Linked DNA regions of Xenopus tropicalis. Each later gene encodes a partner of the first gene's protein in a complex. Links are inferred from orthologs where the notes say so. Each region holds a gene or a part of one and is shown in the gene's direction. Other genes may lie near its edges.

The links.
Region 2: ecsit (region 1) and coa1 share a complex: the UniProt entries of both Homo sapiens proteins name them as parts of the mitochondrial complex. The link is inferred for Xenopus tropicalis from reciprocal best matches to the Homo sapiens genes ECSIT and COA1.
Region 3: ecsit (region 1) and ndufaf1 share a complex: the UniProt entries of both Homo sapiens proteins name them as parts of the mitochondrial complex. The link is inferred for Xenopus tropicalis from reciprocal best matches to the Homo sapiens genes ECSIT and NDUFAF1.
Region 4: ecsit (region 1) and tmem186 share a complex: the UniProt entries of both Homo sapiens proteins name them as parts of the mitochondrial complex. The link is inferred for Xenopus tropicalis from reciprocal best matches to the Homo sapiens genes ECSIT and TMEM186.

What each region holds. Positions count from the first base shown.
Region 1 is NC_030679.2:139,307,467-139,311,663, reverse strand, and holds the start of ecsit (evolutionarily conserved signaling intermediate in Toll pathway, mitochondrial precursor), read left to right. Parts: upstream 1-1,357; 5' UTR 1,358-1,370; intron 1,371-2,497; 5' UTR 2,498-2,515; coding exon 2,516-2,614; intron 2,615-3,301; coding exon 3,302-3,674; intron 3,675-4,197.
Region 2 is NC_030682.2:57,067,416-57,071,688, forward strand, and holds the start of coa1 (cytochrome c oxidase assembly factor 1 homolog), read left to right. Parts: upstream 1-1,421; 5' UTR 1,422-1,530; intron 1,531-4,273. UniProt on the Homo sapiens protein: Component of the MITRAC (mitochondrial translation regulation assembly intermediate of cytochrome c oxidase complex) complex, that regulates cytochrome c oxidase assembly.
Region 3 is NC_030684.2:115,761,589-115,765,811, reverse strand, and holds the start of ndufaf1 (complex I intermediate-associated protein 30, mitochondrial), read left to right. Parts: upstream 1-1,405; 5' UTR 1,406-1,406; coding exon of another isoform or gene 1,407-1,408; coding exon 1,409-1,921; intron 1,922-3,927; coding exon 3,928-4,113; intron 4,114-4,223. UniProt on the Homo sapiens protein: As part of the MCIA complex, involved in the assembly of the mitochondrial complex I.
Region 4 is NC_030685.2:38,351,994-38,356,335, forward strand, and holds the start of tmem186 (transmembrane protein 186), read left to right. Parts: upstream 1-1,486; 5' UTR 1,487-1,581; intron 1,582-4,197; 5' UTR 4,198-4,206; coding exon 4,207-4,342. Other genes in the region: pmm1 (phosphomannomutase 2), read right to left, coding at 1,249-1,311. UniProt on the Homo sapiens protein: As part of the MCIA complex, required for efficient assembly of the mitochondrial complex I.

The sequences.
Region 1 (4,197 bases):
TGTGAGTGACAGGAGGGAGTGTGAGTGACAGTGAGAGATACTGACAGGAGGGAGTGTGAGTGACAGTGAGGCATACTGACAGGAAGGAGTGTGAGTGACAGTGAGAGATACTGACAGGAGGGAGTGTGAGTGACAGTGAGAGATACTGACAGGAGGGAGTGTGAGTGACAGTGAGGGATACTGACAGGAGGGAGTGTGAGTGACAGTGAGAGATACTGACAGGAGGGAGTGTGAGTGACAGTGAGAGATACTGACAGGAGGGAGTGTGAGTGACAGGAGGGAGTGTGAGTGACAGTGAGAGATACTGACAGGAGGGAGTGTGAGTGACAGTGAGGGATACTGACAGGAGGGAGTGTGAGTGACAGGAGGGAGTGTGAGTGACAGGAGGGAGTGTGAGTGACAGGAGGGAGTGTGAGTGACAGTGAGAGATACTGACAGGAGGGAGTGTGAGTGACAGTGAGGGATACTGACAGGAGGGAGTGTGAGTGACAGTGAGGGATACTGACAGGAGGGAGTGTGAGTGACAGTGAGGGATACTGACAGGAGGGAGTGTGAGTGACAGGAGGGAGTGTGAGTGACAGTGAGAGATACTGACAGGAGGGAGTGTGAGTGACAGTGAGGGATACTGACAGGAGGGAGTGTGAGTGACAGTGATGGATACTGACAGGAGGGAGTGTGAGTGACAGTGAGAGATACTGACAGGAGGGAGTGTGAGTGACAGTGAGAGATACTGACAGGAGGGAGTGTGAGTGACAGTGAGGGATACTGACAGGAGGGAGTGTGAGTGACAGTGAGGGATACTGACAGGAGGGAGTGTGAGTGACAGTGAGAGATACTGACAGGAGGGAGTGTGAGTGACAGTGAGAGATACTGACAGGAGGGAGTGTGAGTGACAGTGAGAGATACTGACAGGAGGGAGTGTGAGTGACAGGAGGGAGTGTGAGTGACAGTGAGAGATACTGAAAGGAGGGAGTGTGAGTGACAGTGAGGGATACTGACAGGAGGGAGTGTGAGTGACAGGAGGGAGTGTGAGTGACAGGAGGGAGTGTGAGTGACAGTGAGGGATACTGACAGGAGGGAGTGTGAGTGACAGGAGGGAGTGTGAGTGACAGGAGGGAGTGTGAGTGACAGTGAGGGATACTGACAGGAGGGAGTGTGAGTGACAGTGAGGGAGTGAGTAAGGGAATACATGGGGGACAGCAGCTGGAGAGTGTAAGAGGATGAAGAGTGAAGACAACACGTTACAGTGCCCGGAACCATCTCACTCAGTCTTCTGTTCCCGCCCGGCTCGGAAGGCAGGCTCCTTGACGTCACTCAATTCCTCCAAGATGGCGGCGCCCAGTCGGCTGCAGTGACACTGAAGCTTGTAGGTAGGTGTATATATGTCGGTATGTATGTAGGAATACCGGGATAAGTGTTTGTGGTGTACTGCTCAGTGAGCGGAGCCCTCCAGCTACAGCCATACAAGGCGCCCCGGTGCCCCTGCCCATACACACAGGCCCACTGGCTGAGCGGTACCGTACTGCCGGACCGTATAGTACAGATCCCCGTACTGCCAGCTGGGGTTAGTAGTGAACAAATATATTTCTGTAATTGGAAATGAATTATGACCCGGGTGCATTTATAAAGAATAATGAATATATTTCGAAAGCATAAATACAATAATATAAATGTCTGTGCCCATCTCCCACCTATAGCCTGTGCCCATCTCCCACCTATAGCCTGTGCCCATCTCCCACCTATAGCCTGTGCCCATCTCCCACCTATAGCCTGTGCCCATCTCCCACCTATAGCCTGTGCCCATCTCCCACCTATAGCCTGTGCCCATCTCCCACCTATAGCCTGTGCCCATCTCCCACCTATAGCCTGTGCCCATCTCCCACCTATAGCCTGTGCCCATCTCCCACCTATAGCCTGTGCCCATCTCCCACCTATAGCCTGTGCCCATCTCCCACCTATAGCCTGTGCCCATCTCCCACCTATAGCCTGTGCCCATCTCCCACCTATAGCCTGTGCCCATCTCCCACCTATAGCCTGTGCCCATCTCCCACCTATAGCCTGTGCCCATCTCCCACCTATAGCCTGTGCCCATCTCCCACCTATAGCCTGTGCCCATCTCCCACCTATAGCCTGTGCCCATCTCCCACCTATAGCCTGTGCCCATCTCCCACCTATAGCCTGTGCCCATCTCCCACCTATAGCCTGTGCCCATCTCCCACCTATAGCCTGTGCCCATCTCCCACCTATAGCCTGTGCCCATCTCCCACCTATAGCCTGTGCCCATCTCCCACCTATAGCCTGTGCCCATCTCCCACCTATAGCCTGTGCCAGTCTGGCTCTGTCTCCTACCAACCATGTGATTGCCCTGAGCACTAGGAACCCACATGGGCGGCACCACTGGTACAACTGTAGGGGCATGGCTGGCCTTTGGGGTGCACCATAAAGAAGGAGGGGTGCCAGGGTGTCCATTATATATTTATTTATTTATTTTATGAAGCAGCATCAAGCCGTCAGGATGAGAACCTTGCGCTTCCTGATTTCTGCCCGTCATCTGTGTGCCCGGGGCAGAGGCATACCAGCAGGCCAGGCTCTTGGCACCGGCAATAACGCCCAGGTAAGCGCAGCGCCGACACGTTTCCACTTATACGTGGAATATTCCATTCTCTCCTGTCCCCTCTCATAGTCAGACTTTCCCTTTAATCTCGGGCGTGTACCCTCCTTCAGTTACAGACAGGGCACACTGGCTACCTAGTGGGCAACAATTTAGAGAAATGGAGGGCACTCCTGGCTAGAATATCCTTGCCAGGAGTTATTATATATACAAAAAATAAGTATAAAGTATCCAGGTGCTAGGGTTTTAATAATCCCCCCATAAGAGGACTATACACATCCACAAAAACCCTGCACACCAGAATAAACTTTCCCAGGGAGGTATTTATAATTAAAAAAAACATTTTATTCATTTAAACAAAGGCGTTTGAGCGGAAACGTTGGGGTATTCTCTCATCCAGATTATCTGCCTTCATATCTTGTTTTTCAGTTATTACACTGGGGGTATGTATTTATTTGCTTTTTGATGGATATACAATTTTTAAGGTTGATACTTTTTTCTGTATCATGTTTAAATGAATAAAATGTTTTTTTTTAATTATAAATACCTCCCTGGGGAAGTTTTTTCTGGTGTGCAGGGTTTTTGTGGGGTTTTGTACCTAGTGGGCAACCACTGCATATTGTCACCTGAGTAATAGAACTTCCCTGGAAGCTTAATCAGAAATGTTATCCTGTGCATGTCGTCTTCCAGAAACAGGTGACCTGCTGTCTTCACACATCTCCGCCTCCTGGGCCTCCCCAAGCCACTTCCTCAGCCGGCTCGGTTACTCCATACGAGGATGTGTTCCAGAGGGAGCAGAGGAACAAAGCCTCCTTTGTGGAGGTCCTTGATCTTTACTGCAACCGAGATGTGAGGAGGAGAGGACATGTGGAGATCATAGAGGCGGCTCTTAGATGGATGACGGAGTTTGGGGTGGAAAAGGACTTGGAGGTTTATAATAAATTGCTTGACGTGTTTCCCAAGGAGGTCTTTGTCCCCCAAAATTACATCCAGAGGATGTTCAACCACTACCCACGCCAGCAGGAGTGCGCCATAAGGGTGCTAGAGCAGATGGAGAATTACGGTAAAGAGCCTACTACTTACTACACTACTTACTATGGGCCAAGGAGGGGGCTATGGGACATGGAGTCTGTCCCTCCCACTGCAGGGTGATACAGTGACACAGACAGGAGGGGGCTATGGGACACGGAGTCTGTCCCTCCCACTGCAGGGTGATACAGTGACACAGACAGGAGGGAGCTATGGGACATGGAGTCTGTCCCTCCCGCTGCAGGGTGATACAGTGACACAGACAGGAGGGGGCTATGGGACATGTCTGCCCCTCCCACTGCAGGGTGATACAGTGACACAGACAGGAGGGAGCTATGGAACACGGAGTCTGTCCCTCCCACTGCAGGGTGATACAGTGACACAGACAGGAGGGGGCTATGGGACACTGAGTCTGTCCCTCCCACTGCAGGGTGATACAGTGACACAGACAGGAGGGAGCTATGGGACATGGAGTCTGTCCCTCCCGCTGCAGGGTGATACAGTGACACAGACAGGAGGGGGCTATGGGACATGTCTGCCCCTCCCACTGCAGGGTG
Region 2 (4,273 bases), on another chromosome or scaffold:
AAGTATAAACATATTCTGTTAACTGTTAACCTAGCTCTCCTAAACTCTCAACCGACTCAATTCAGAGTTTAAATGTTTAGTTGTAGATTAGAGGAGGACCTACGGGTAAAGCTTGGACACTGTAAGGAGACAGGGGAGGCGATGGGAATTGCTATGTGTAAGTGTGAGAAGCAAAAAGAGAGACGTGCAGAAGTATTGTGTGCTGTATACCTGCTTCCCTGCAAGAAGTCTGTAATAAAGTGTGTGTGATTCTTTGCAACTGGGTTAAGATGCCTACTTTTTTAGTAAAGACCGTGTACATGCATTTGACAGTAATGGGTGCCTGCCAGCCACAGGTAGCCCTGTTACAAGCCAACAGTATTACTTGGAAAAAGAAAGATTATTAAATAAAAAAAACCTGTAATGGTTTTGCAAGACTCCAGTGTCCCCAGTAAAGACTATAATGAATTTATCCGCCGCTTTATCCCAGAGCGAATCTGAAATACAGCCTCCTAAATACTTTAAAGGTTCAGTGGATTAAAACTGGTATTATTCACAGATATGCTGCATGAGCTGGGATCGGATTCAGAGCACAGCTGTTCAGAGATCCATATGAAATGTGACCTTTTGACCAGCTTATACTATTATTTAGGAAATTATATTCCGTTTGCTTTCAGTTAATTAAAGTGATACTGACACTAAAAAACTACTCTTCAAAATATGAATGTATGTAAAAAGTTACCTATAGGTCACGTTGATCATTTTTCACAGATAGGGCTGCTTTTGTAAGTAATTGTTGTTTGAAGTTCCTAAACCTGACTGTTTTGCCAACCTGACTGTCCCTTCTCAGCCTGTCAGTTATCATTTCTAATGCTAACAGACTCCTGCTGCACAAATATGGCTGCCCCCTCATAAAGCAACATGGGGGATCAGATGGGTAACATAAAAACAAATACTATTATGGAAAAATTATAAATAGCATGCAAAGGCAGTTGTAAAAAGGGTTTAATTTCTGGTGTCGGTATCTCTTTAACACCTGGTTGTATGACACACTGGTAACTGTTAAGTAATTCTGCAACTGCATAGAAGCTGGTTTCAGTATTGTTAAAGGGGTTGTTCACCTTCACATAAATGAAGCTATTTTAGCAGATTAGGTCATTTTAATAAAATATGTAATTTATCTGTTTTAGAGAAAATTACCTCTGAAGATAGCGTTTCTGTATAGGGCAGGATACAGCAGAGGCACCAGGGGAGGGGGTCGCTGAACCCTTTCTGCACAAGCCTGTGTCAGCGTGTGGAAGCTCTGTGTAACACTGAGCACTGGCAGTAGGAGTCTAAAGCTACTGTGCATGTTGCTTTTCTTGCCTCTCCTCTGATTGGCTGCTAAACTGCCCGGCACCTGGTGCTGCTGCTGTCTCTGCTATGAATGTTCAGGGAGGGAGGGGGGAGCAGGGGGGAAGCTCCCATGTGACTCACATTGCAGGGAAGAAACAAATGCTCCGCCTCCCTGAAATGTTTCTGTATGCCTTTGTGTGAACTGCAGCTTTTACAGTAAGTGTTAAACAGCTTATTCAAACACATAGATACACAGTCTTTGCGTGGCACATATTATCATACTCAGGGGAACATAATCTATCTTTTGGGTAGCAGTGAGAAAAGGTGGACAAACCCTTTAATGGGACTTGAAGCTCCTTTGCTTTCCACTGAACCTACGCACCAAACAGTGTGAAAAGCAGAGGAACTTTAAGTCACACAACCCATTACTTTACAACAAGGTGGGGGAGGTTGCATTATACTGTGAGTAAAAGGGGGGGTGGGGAAACTGGTTTCATTGAAAACAGGCAGACTATTACAATCTGTGAAATCAGGCATTTCTGTGTAAATATATATTCTGGAAGGTTAGTGTTTATGTACCTTACCTACATAAGCATAACTAAACAAAGTCTTGTCAAAAAGAGAGTATTATTATTATTAACATTTATTTATAAAGCGCCAACATATTCCGCAGCGCTGTACAATAAGTGGGTTACATACATTGGACATACAGAGTAACATATAAAGCAATCAATAACCGATACAAGAGGTGAAGAGGGCCCTGCCCAAAAGAGCTTACAATCTACAAGTATATTTAGCTTCTCCAGAGGGACATGAGAAGGTGAAAAAGAAATCATTCTATACTAGTAAAATGGGTAAAAATGTAAATTAGAATGCAACCAACAAATAGTCTTTATTTCTAATGTACTACAGAAAAACATCTGAAATGAAAATTTATTTGGAAGGTGAACAACCCATTTAAACTAATGCACTGATGCTGGAAATTAATTACAACAACTTGGGTTCCAAAGATTCCAGTATACGGAAATGAATGATATATGTATAACTCTGAATTGTGTTATACTGTATATTTACTTGTCAGTTATATTTAACTGACCCTATTCCTTAAGCATTAAAAATTCCACATTGCTAGTTTAGAAAAATTTGCATTTATATGCAAGCCATTTATACCCTTAAAGGAGAAGGAAAGGCTAATAAAGAGTTAATCTCAAGCTGCAGGCATACCTTCAGTTGTCTCAATAGTGCCCTTAAGTCTCCCCATATTTCTCCTGTTCAGATGATCAGAAGCATAATAGGGGGAAAAAATGCTGAGCTGTGTAAAGAAAGTTCCCATAATGCCATGCTCCTCCACCAAGACCAAGACTGGTTACATGCTCAGTTTGTAAGACTATGAGGAAGCTTCCTGCTGATTGGCCCAGATCCACATTCCTATGGGGGGGAGTGAGTTCTTAGCATTCTTTGGGGAGGGGGTGCAGGAGAGGGGAGAGAGGAGAGAGCTGGCACATGAATTACAGACACAAGAAATCTTTTGTATATATGTATATTTTTATTTATAAAGCGCTACTTATGTACGCAGCGCTGTACAGTAGAATACATTAATACGAACAGGGGGTTAATAAGATAATAGATAAATACAAAGTATAACAATAAATACAAATAAATACAAGATACAGTTGCAATAAGTTAAGAGTCAAAGACACAAGAGGATGGAGGTCCCTGCCCCGTAGAGCTTACAATCTATATGGGAGGGTAACTTACAGACACAAATAGGCAAATATAAGTGCTGTAGGTCACAGTGGGTGACATTACAATATAAGTGCTGATTCCCAGATCAGGTGCTGGGCGAGTTCTCCAAAAGGTAGTCTTTTAGTTTGGTTTTAAAAAGACTGGGGGAGGATTCTCTCCGGAGGAAATCAGGGAGGGCATTCCAGATGTAAGGGGCAGCAAGGCAGAAAGGTTAAGGCGGGAAACAGCAGTTGTAGTGGGGGGCGCAGCCAAGCGATTGCTCTGCGAGGAACGAAGGAGTCGGCCAGGGACGTACGGAGACACAAGGGAAGAGATGTAGTGAGGAGCAGAGGAATGGAGGGCTTTGAAGGTTAGAAGAAGTTTGTAAGATATTCTTTGTTTAATAGGAAGCCACGATAAGGCCTTTAGCAGGGGAGGGGCCTGAACTCTCCTGGATGAGAGGAGGAGAATTCTGGCAGCAGTATTTAATATAGACTGTAGGGGGGAAAGATGGGAGTTAGGGAGGCCGGTTAATAACAGGTTGCAGTAGTCCAGTCGGGATAGGATGAGGGCATGCATGAGCAGCCTAGCTGTTGCAGTAGAGAGAAAGGGACAGATTTTGCCAATATTGCGTAAGAAAAAGTGACAGGTTTTGACAGTGGAGTTAATGTGGTCAGAGAAGGAGAGACAGGAGTCAAAGATCACCCCCAAACAGCGTGACGAATCGACAGGGTTGATGAGGGTGCCTTCAATAGAGATAGAAAAGGGGGGAGTAGGACCAGGCTTAGGCGGAAAGATCATTAGTTCAGATTTTGACAGAGACCTCAGTGCAGCTTTTCTGTGAGTGCTTATGGCTGTATTTACATAGACTTTCTGATAAAGCTTACTTAGTTTTTACCTTTCCTTCTGTCTGTGACATCTTAGGTTAGCCATTCTGGCTAATTTGCCAGAACCAAAGATTGTCAGTCAAGGCCTGAAAGAAGGAGAAAGAGGATCCATCTAAATACTTGGAAAGTATTTTTTACAATGAGAGCTGCGAAGTTGTGGCTTTCTCTTCCTGAATCAGTTGTACTGGCTAATACATTAGAGAGCTGGTTGAATGCCTTTTTGGCAAGTGAGGGAATACAGGGTTATGGGAGATAGCTCTTAGTACAAGTTGATCCAGGGACTGGTCCAATTGCCATCTTGGAGTCAGGAAGGAATTTTACCTCCATCTGAGGCAAATTAGAGAGGC
Region 3 (4,223 bases), on another chromosome or scaffold:
ATACTTAAGACATATGATGTAAACTACACTGGTGGCCTGTAATTAGCACGGCTCCCTGAATTTGGTTCCAATCTGGGCACTGTATGTTTTTCCTGTGCTTGTGTGGGTTTCCTCTGGGAACTGTGATTCCTCTTAAACCATACAGTGAGCTTTATTGGCCTTTGATGAAAGTGACCTTAGTGTATGTAAATGATATAGGGACCTTAGATTGTAAGCTCCAATGGCAAAGGGGCAGATGAGTATCATAATCAATGCAATGTGCTGCATTTATATATGAGTGATATATAAATAAAGGATAATATTTAAAACTGAGGAAAAGGGATGCAATATTGCCTAGTATGTGGTATATGTATTAAGCTTTTTACACAAACTAACACGATCTTCTTAACTCACTGTTTCTTATAAATTCATAATTTTGAATGCACGTGATGGCTGGATAGATGAATGATAATCTTAGTTAGGTAGACTAATCTGTAACGTTGTCTTCAAGAATGTTTGTTAGGTGTAAATAAAGCTGTATACAAACGCTTTCCCATGCGTTCCATCAGCAACGCATCTGCGCATGCCTGCCTTTGCCTGCCCGCTCTCACGTTTAATTGGTTGGCTAGCGGTGAGGTCATTAGGAGGCGACACGGACACGCATGCTCAGAGGTTCACGGGTTGTCAGTACTATGGCTCCTTGAAGGAGTGCACTGTGGAGGTGAGCCGCTGTAGCCTTATGGAATAATGGTAATACTGTGTGCTTGCTTCAGCTGCAGCCCCATACCAGGTATATAATGGAACTTGTTGCGGTACAGGCAGCTATGCAGGGTCCTTCAGGGCTTTACCACTTAGGCAATAAAGGCACATAGTATCCAAGCTCCTTTCTGTCATTTACATTGTTTTGCACCAACTTGACCTTCTTTTGTTATGTCAGTCTCTGCTGAAATGATGACCTTGCCTTCCTAAGCTTCTGCTTCCAGGGGTAAGCCTTTTGGTTATTGATGATGATCTCTCTGTATATGTATCAGCATGCATTGCTAGGAAATGTATGAGCCCTAAACCCACAATACCTACTTAGCACATGTCTCTGTCCCTTCCCCCAAGCGAGTTGCTCTCTTAAACTTCACACCTTACCTGATGCTCCCCACTGCTGTAATGTATTCAATGTTGGTTGGTTGCAATGGTGCAGATATGTTTGTAAATAACCCCCCCCCCCCAAGAATCTTTGATGTTGATAATTGCGCCCTGAGGAAAAACACAGTAACTTCTACAGATTTCTTTAAAAAATGTATTTGTATTTAAATGTCTTAAATGATATTGTCTTTTTCTCTCAAACCCCAAATTATTTTTAGGTAAAGGCCCCTGGGTTTCATGCAACATTCAGGATTTTATAAACTGAACATTTTTATTTTATATCTAAACAGCAATGGCTTTAAGCTTAAATATAATACAGAAGCTACATCTGTGCAGACATCCCAGATGGACTAAACCATTCTGCCCATTGTTGCACCCGTCTTCACAACTCTTGCAATGCAAACTGTACAGCAGCAAATATCGCAGGCCTGGCCTCCCCCCAGACAACACTCCTCCTTGGAAAAGGATCAATTTCAGCTTTGAGAAGGGAGTGGCAGGAGTGAAGAAACACTTTGGGTTGCTGAAGAAGGAAGTAGAGGATCATTTGAGAGGTCCTGGGGGAAAGACTTTGAGGGAGAATATTTTGGAGCAGACAAATGTTGTTTGGGAGTTCAGAAGCTTAGAGGATCTGGACAAATGGACTCTATCGTCAGACCAGGAGATAGGAGGGAAAAGTCAGGTGTCTCTAAAGCTGGGAAGGAACAATCAGACAGCTCTTTTTTATGGTACCCTCAATACTGAAGTTCCTCGGGATGGCGAAACAAGATACAGTGGGTACTGCACTATGAAGTCCAAAACCCCTTTGGTAAGTACAGTGCTAGTAAAGAGAAATAATGCACTTCCATGTAAAGGGGTTGTTCGCCTTTATATTTACTTTTAGTCTGATGTAAAGACTGATATTCTGACACAGTTTGGCTTCTGGGGTCAGTGACCCCCATTTGAAAGCCAGAAAGAGCCAGAAGAAGTCAAATAATTCAAAAACTATGATTAAAAAATATTGAAAACCACTTGAAAAGTTGTAACAAATAAGTCTACAGTGTAACATACTAAAGCTGAACTTAAAGAATCACATCTGTTGCTAAATATTTTTAGTGTTCATAAATTTTTTTTTTTTTTTTTAAATGTAACTTTTAAATATGAAGGAATAGCAAATTCACTGTGGGATGCCAATATGTTGGGCGCCCCCCGAGTGAATAAAATTGCTATGTCTTTATCCCTGGGGTTGGTGCTACTGTTGGGAAAAATACACAGTGCTACATGGCTTAATTACCTTTCCCAGGCGTCTGTAGGGCAGACTTAAGGCCATACATGGGCAGATTTAAGCTAGATAAGCCACTCAATGCAACTGCAATAGGAAAGCATTGTTGTGTTTTAGCCTCTGCCCTTGAGCCACTGTCCCTCTTAACAACAGTGTGGTTACTATGCAACACAGAAGAGCTGCGGAACAGAAGCTACACACAGATAATAACTGTCCAAATAGTTATTATTGTTGTTTTAGAATAGCTCTACCCATTTTATTGGTTGCTAATGGGTTACGGCACCTAGGCAAAATTATTGCCTTTTTATATATTGGGTTAAATATATGGCAGTGTCAGGGGGAAATGTTCTATAAAAGGCAGTAAAGGTGTGGGTTGCTGTGCTCATTATTAAATGTTTAAAGGCTACACTGTACCATTTATTCACTGCCTTTATTTAATATTTAGACTGATCTGATAGCAGTTCCAAATAAAAGACTAATGAGAATGTTGGTGAACTGCTACATTTTATATTGAAACCAGTTAAGTGTGCACAGTCTGTTTATTGAATATTTAATGGTAGGTATGTGCAACATGCATCAAACTACAGTGGCCATTAGGGAAAGCTGGAGATTTATAGCTGGAGGGCCAACGGCCTTTGGTTTTTGTTACTTACTGGAGTGGACCATTACCATTTCCATTATAAACAATTTTTATGAAATATGCATGGTTTACCTCCAATTTATTTCCTCTTTTAGGTAAAAGGATTCTGTCATGATTTTTATGGCATACTTTTTATTTCTGAATTACACTGGTTACATAGCAAATAATTCACTCTACCATTTAACACTTTATTCTTGAACCAACAAATGTATTTTTTAGCTGTAATATTGGTGTGTAGGCGCCATCTCAGTGCATTGTGTGTCTGAGCTTTCAGAAGGAGCCAGTGCTACATATTAGAACTGCTTTCAGGTAACTTAATATATCTCCTACTCCAATGTAACTGGAGGAGTCCCAAGCCGGACTTGGATTTCTTGCTATTGAGTGCTATTCTGATACCTACTGGGAGCTGCTATCTTGCTCGCTTCCCATTGTTCTGCTGATCGGCTGCTGGGAGGGGGGATATCACTCCAACTTGCAGCTCAGCAGTAAAGAGTGACTGAAGTTTATCAGATCACAGGTCACATGACTGTGGCACCCTGGGAAATGAAGAATATGTCTAACCCAATGTGAAATACAAAATAAAAAATGTTTGTGCTTTAAAAAATTGTATTTCAATGCAGGATTCTGCTGAAGAAGCTGTATTAACTGATATATTTTGAAAAAATGTTTTCCCATGACAGTTTTTCTTTAAGTATTTATCTCCATAAACTTTAATGTAACAGCTCCCCCAGTGGCCAGATAATAATGAACGTTAGCAGACTGCCAGCTTGGCTTTACCAACAAATAACATTTCACATGTGTGATTGCAACCATGGCCTGTCTTCTCCAGAGTAATAAATCTGTCATTGCAAAAACCTCAGGGTATAAATCAATGCACATAAATGTTTCATGATTGTTTGTTTTTAACATGTAGGGAGCATTCAATCGTAAGCTGCATTATGACTGGTCCAACTTTAACACTCTGTACTTGCGAGTACGTGGGGATGGACGACCTTGGATGGTGAACATCAAGTCAGACAGCTATTTCTCCCAACAAAGGGATGATCTATACAATTATTTCATATACACCCAAGGAGGCCCTTACTGGCAAGACATAAAGGTAAAAGAAAACCATTAAATCCTGTATTTGAGGTTGGGATGAGTTTGCCAAGATTGGGCAAACTAATATCTGGCTGTGTAATAGTTTAATCCCATCTAAAAATGACAGAT
Region 4 (4,342 bases), on another chromosome or scaffold:
AAAAGATGGACCCTTTATCATGGTTGAACTTCAGCTCCCTATTGCCTGCATCATTCATGTAAATGCAAGACATGCTGGGGTCATTTATCATTGTCCCACGTGCAAATGCTACAGCTCAAAGGGGCTCAAAATTCTGCCTATTACTGACCATTTACCCAGCATAAGGGCCAGCTATGCTCTGCACCTCACAGCAGATTAATAATTAATGTGCTGGCGGGCATGAATTTTTAGCCTCCCAAAGATAGAATGAAATGCAATTAGGGGGGAAGGATAGAAAACTCCTATATGCCCCCTCCCCAGTGGTCCCTTGTGAATACAGCTCTGCAGAGTGCCTGTTTTTTCAGGTTGTCAGGTTGGGGGTGCACAGGGTCTTGAACTCCTCGCTGGACCACAAAGACCTGCATCCATGGTGTGAATGCAGGCTGAGTTCAATTGTGCAAAAAACATGGCAGTTTGAACCAATATCTGCATTTTGTTAAAATTATCCTTACTTTTTATGCAGACAGTGCATAAAAAAAAAAAAGTAATCTAGGATTACTCGAAGATACAGAGCTTCTTGGTGATTTCACCTACTTGTAGCAGTGCTTGTCATTAGCAGTGTGTCCCAAAATGTACTCCAAGCAGCATGTACTAAATGTTTATTGTCATAAAGCAAGCTAAGACCTTTGTTGTTTGTCAGTAAAAAAGATAAACCCAGTCACAAGTACAAGAAAACTTATTCCCCATAGAAGGTGTAAACACTGACCATCACTTTTTTAGAAGTAAAGTGAAATGTATTAATTTTTTACCTAATTTTACCTACTTCTAGACTTAGTACAAGGAAAAAGCTTAATCACTGATGTGGTCACAATTTGTTAGCTACCTCTTAGTACTTATAATAATGTTATAATATATAAAGGGAATTTAACCCCCCCCCCCCTTCTAAATCAATTCTATGCAATTAGCAGGTCAAAATGGATGCATTTTACTGAAATGCAACATACACTATGAATTCCCGGTTGCAGCCCGGAATCCAACATAAACTATAAACTTAATGGGGCAGAAGGGTAGAATTTTGTACTGTTATTTATATTCTGGTAAAGTCTTAATCTTACTCTGTCCTATTGCGTTAACTTTAAGCACTGCATTTACATGCAGTATATAAATGCAACATATACACACATAACATGTTTGCAATGCTGTGTGAAAATAAACTTGTGCCAAAAGTGACAGATCCTTGTGAATAGTTCTCGGTTCTGATACTGGTACCTGCCTGGCTGCTGTCAGGGTGCCATCCACATCGAACAAGCACAGAACGTCACATTGAGCCATGACTGCTGCCAGTCGGATCTTTCTCAGCTCAGATGAATGGAGAAACACAGTCCTTTCAAATGTCAAACAAGCCACATCACAACTTCCTATTTGGGTCCTGAAGCCCAGAGCATGACGGGAACTGTATTGCCGGAGTCAGGATGTCACCGACTGTTCATTGACAAAAGAACTCAATCTCCCAGAATGCCTCGCATGGAATCGGAAGTGATTGTAGCTTAGTGCGCTGGGAAGTTTAGCAAAGGAGAAGCGTGTGTAGGAGTGCGGACAGGGGTGAGTATAGAAGAATCGAGCTGCCTGTCCTTCCCTTAGGCTTAGGGAACTCGTACAAGGAAGTGTTCAAATATGACATTTTATTTAAAAAATTGATGTATTTAGAAACAGAAAATTGCTATGCACAAGAGAAATGCAAAAATAAATAAGAAGGGCGTTGGGTGCCTTGATGTTGGTTTTATTAGTAACTGGTGTTTTAAAGAAATAAACTTGCACCACAAATTTAACAGATCACATTCATTGACAGCGTTGCGCTACGTTAACTCCGGCTTGTCCCAGCCTGGCCCGGAAAGGCAGGAAAACTGGCACCAAGGGGGCAATCCTTTCTTATTCAGTCTGATAAACAACTAAGGAAAAGGGGCATCAAAGTGGGTATCTTTGCCATCCTGCCAGCAGATATATGGGTTAAACTGAGTGGCCAAGGGCGTTTAACCCCTTCATCACCCCTGTTACTTACTCAAATAGGCAGAATCATCATTCATTTATATAATGCCAGCAAATTATGCACCACTTCACAATAAATTTAAACAAACAGGGATTTTAAAAAGTTTAACAAACACGGGTATGCAGAGTAAGAATAGGGTGAGAGGGCCCTGCTCGCAAGAGCTTACAATCTACAGGACTGCAAAGATGCCCAGTAACATCTAGTTATGCCAATGTGCATTGGTATTTAATCCATTGTTGCCACAAGTCTTTTTTTTAAAGGGATTATTCACCTTTTTGTCAATTTTTACTATTTTAAGAATGTCCCAAATTTTTCATTGGTCTTCATTTTTTAACTTTTATAATTTTTCAATTATTTGCCTTTCTCAGAAATTCTCTTTCCAGCTGTCATATGGGGGGTCACTGACCCATTATTATTCTTCCGCTTCTTCTTCTTCTTAGTGCCCCCCATTTTCTAACCGCTACTCCTCCTACAGTTTTAGGGGTACAACACCCAAACTCCCCACACTTCTTCGGCCTATAGAGGAGCAGGTTGCTTGTGCTTTTCTAAGCGATTGCGCCGCTCCGAACCCCCCAATTTTTCCATTGACTTTGACAGGGAAGATATTCAAACTGCTGGCACACTTACAGCTTTGAAGCTGCACCCCCCAAACTTGAATAACATAATAATGGGGTCACCCCGAATGAAACAGCAACATTTGTTGGATGACCCCCAAAGTGGGAGGGGCCAATCAAATTTTACCCATTGACTTTAATGGGGAAATTGAAACTGCTGCCAATCTTACAGCTTTGAGGCTACACTCCCCAAACTTGAATCACATAGTCATGGGGCCAGCCTGAATGAAAATATGATGATTGTTGGATGCCCAAAAGTGGGCGGAGCTGTGAACAGCCAATCAGATTTTACCTGTTGACGGTGGAAGTCCCCAAACTTTGCAGGGTTAGGCACCAGGTGACTGTGGTTCAAGGTTAAAAAAGTGGACGGAGCCACCAACAGCCAATCAGAGTTTACCTATTGACTTTCAATTTTGCTTTAAATTTAAAATGCTGCCAGTCTCACACTATTTATGCCAGGGTGCCCACTGTTTGTCACTGGGTGACTTTGACTCAAGGTTAGAAAAAGGGGCACAACCACCAATCACAATTCACCTATTGACTTTTATTGGTTTAAACTGCTGCCGTTCTTTAACTATTAATCCTAGGGTCCCTAAACTTACCAGAGTTAGTCACTGGGTAACTGCAGTTCCAGGTTAGAAAAAGGGGGTTGAGCCACCAACCACCAATCAAATTTAAGTTGCTGCCATTCAGACACTATTAAAACCAGGGTCCCCAAACTTTGCACAGTGGTTTTTACTGTATAACTGTGGTCCAAGGTCAGAGAAAGTTGGAGGAGCCCATGCAGTGACTTCATGTTTTTCAACCCAACATGAAGTTTTTTCTCAAACTTCCCTTTCTAGTTATTATTGAAACTTTTTAGCCTTATCCTTATATACATGCCCTCTCATTTTAATGTTCTGGCCTCTTTTAATCCAGGGCCTGGTTTCTACGTTAAATTGACCCCTAGCAACCAGTTAGCTGCTGAAAATCCAAATTGCAAATTGTTTCCGAATATCACTCTCTACATCATAGTAAAATTTAATTTAAAGGTGAACTACCCCTTTAAATGAGAGACTGAAAGATGAACGATAAGTAATAATAACAATAAAATTGTTACCTGAGAAAGAAATAACTTTTTGAATTTAAAACTTGGAAAGAGGCAGAAGTGGAAAGCAAATCATTAAAAAACAAAATTAAAAAAAAAAAAGTAGCTGAAATCATGCCATTCTATAACATATTCTGGCCTTGGAACATGTGGTATGACAAATTATTTGAGCACTACATGTAAATTGCAGCACAGTACTGGTATAGACAGTCCAAGAGGCAGTTAATTAGCAACAGGTACCATAGCCACAATGCAGTAGTTTGGAACACAGAATGTAAGATGAATAATAGAGGGTATGAACAGAAAGATAAGAAATACAAGATAAGAATAGAAAGCTGTGGGTGGAAAATAAGCAGAATAGGAAGGCTAATAATTTCAATTTTCTGTGAACTTTTCCTTGAAAAATTTTAGGTAATGTGAGTATATATAAGGCATTATGATCTAACAGTTATATTGTTTCTCCTTTGCAGGACCCAGTCATGGCCCATGTATGCCTGATATCTAGATGCATAAAGTATTTACACATGGGCCAGTTGGCCTGGAGTTCCAAGTTACTTTGCAGAACAACTTTCTTCAGATCCTCTTCAGTGTCACTGACATCATGTCAAGGCTGTT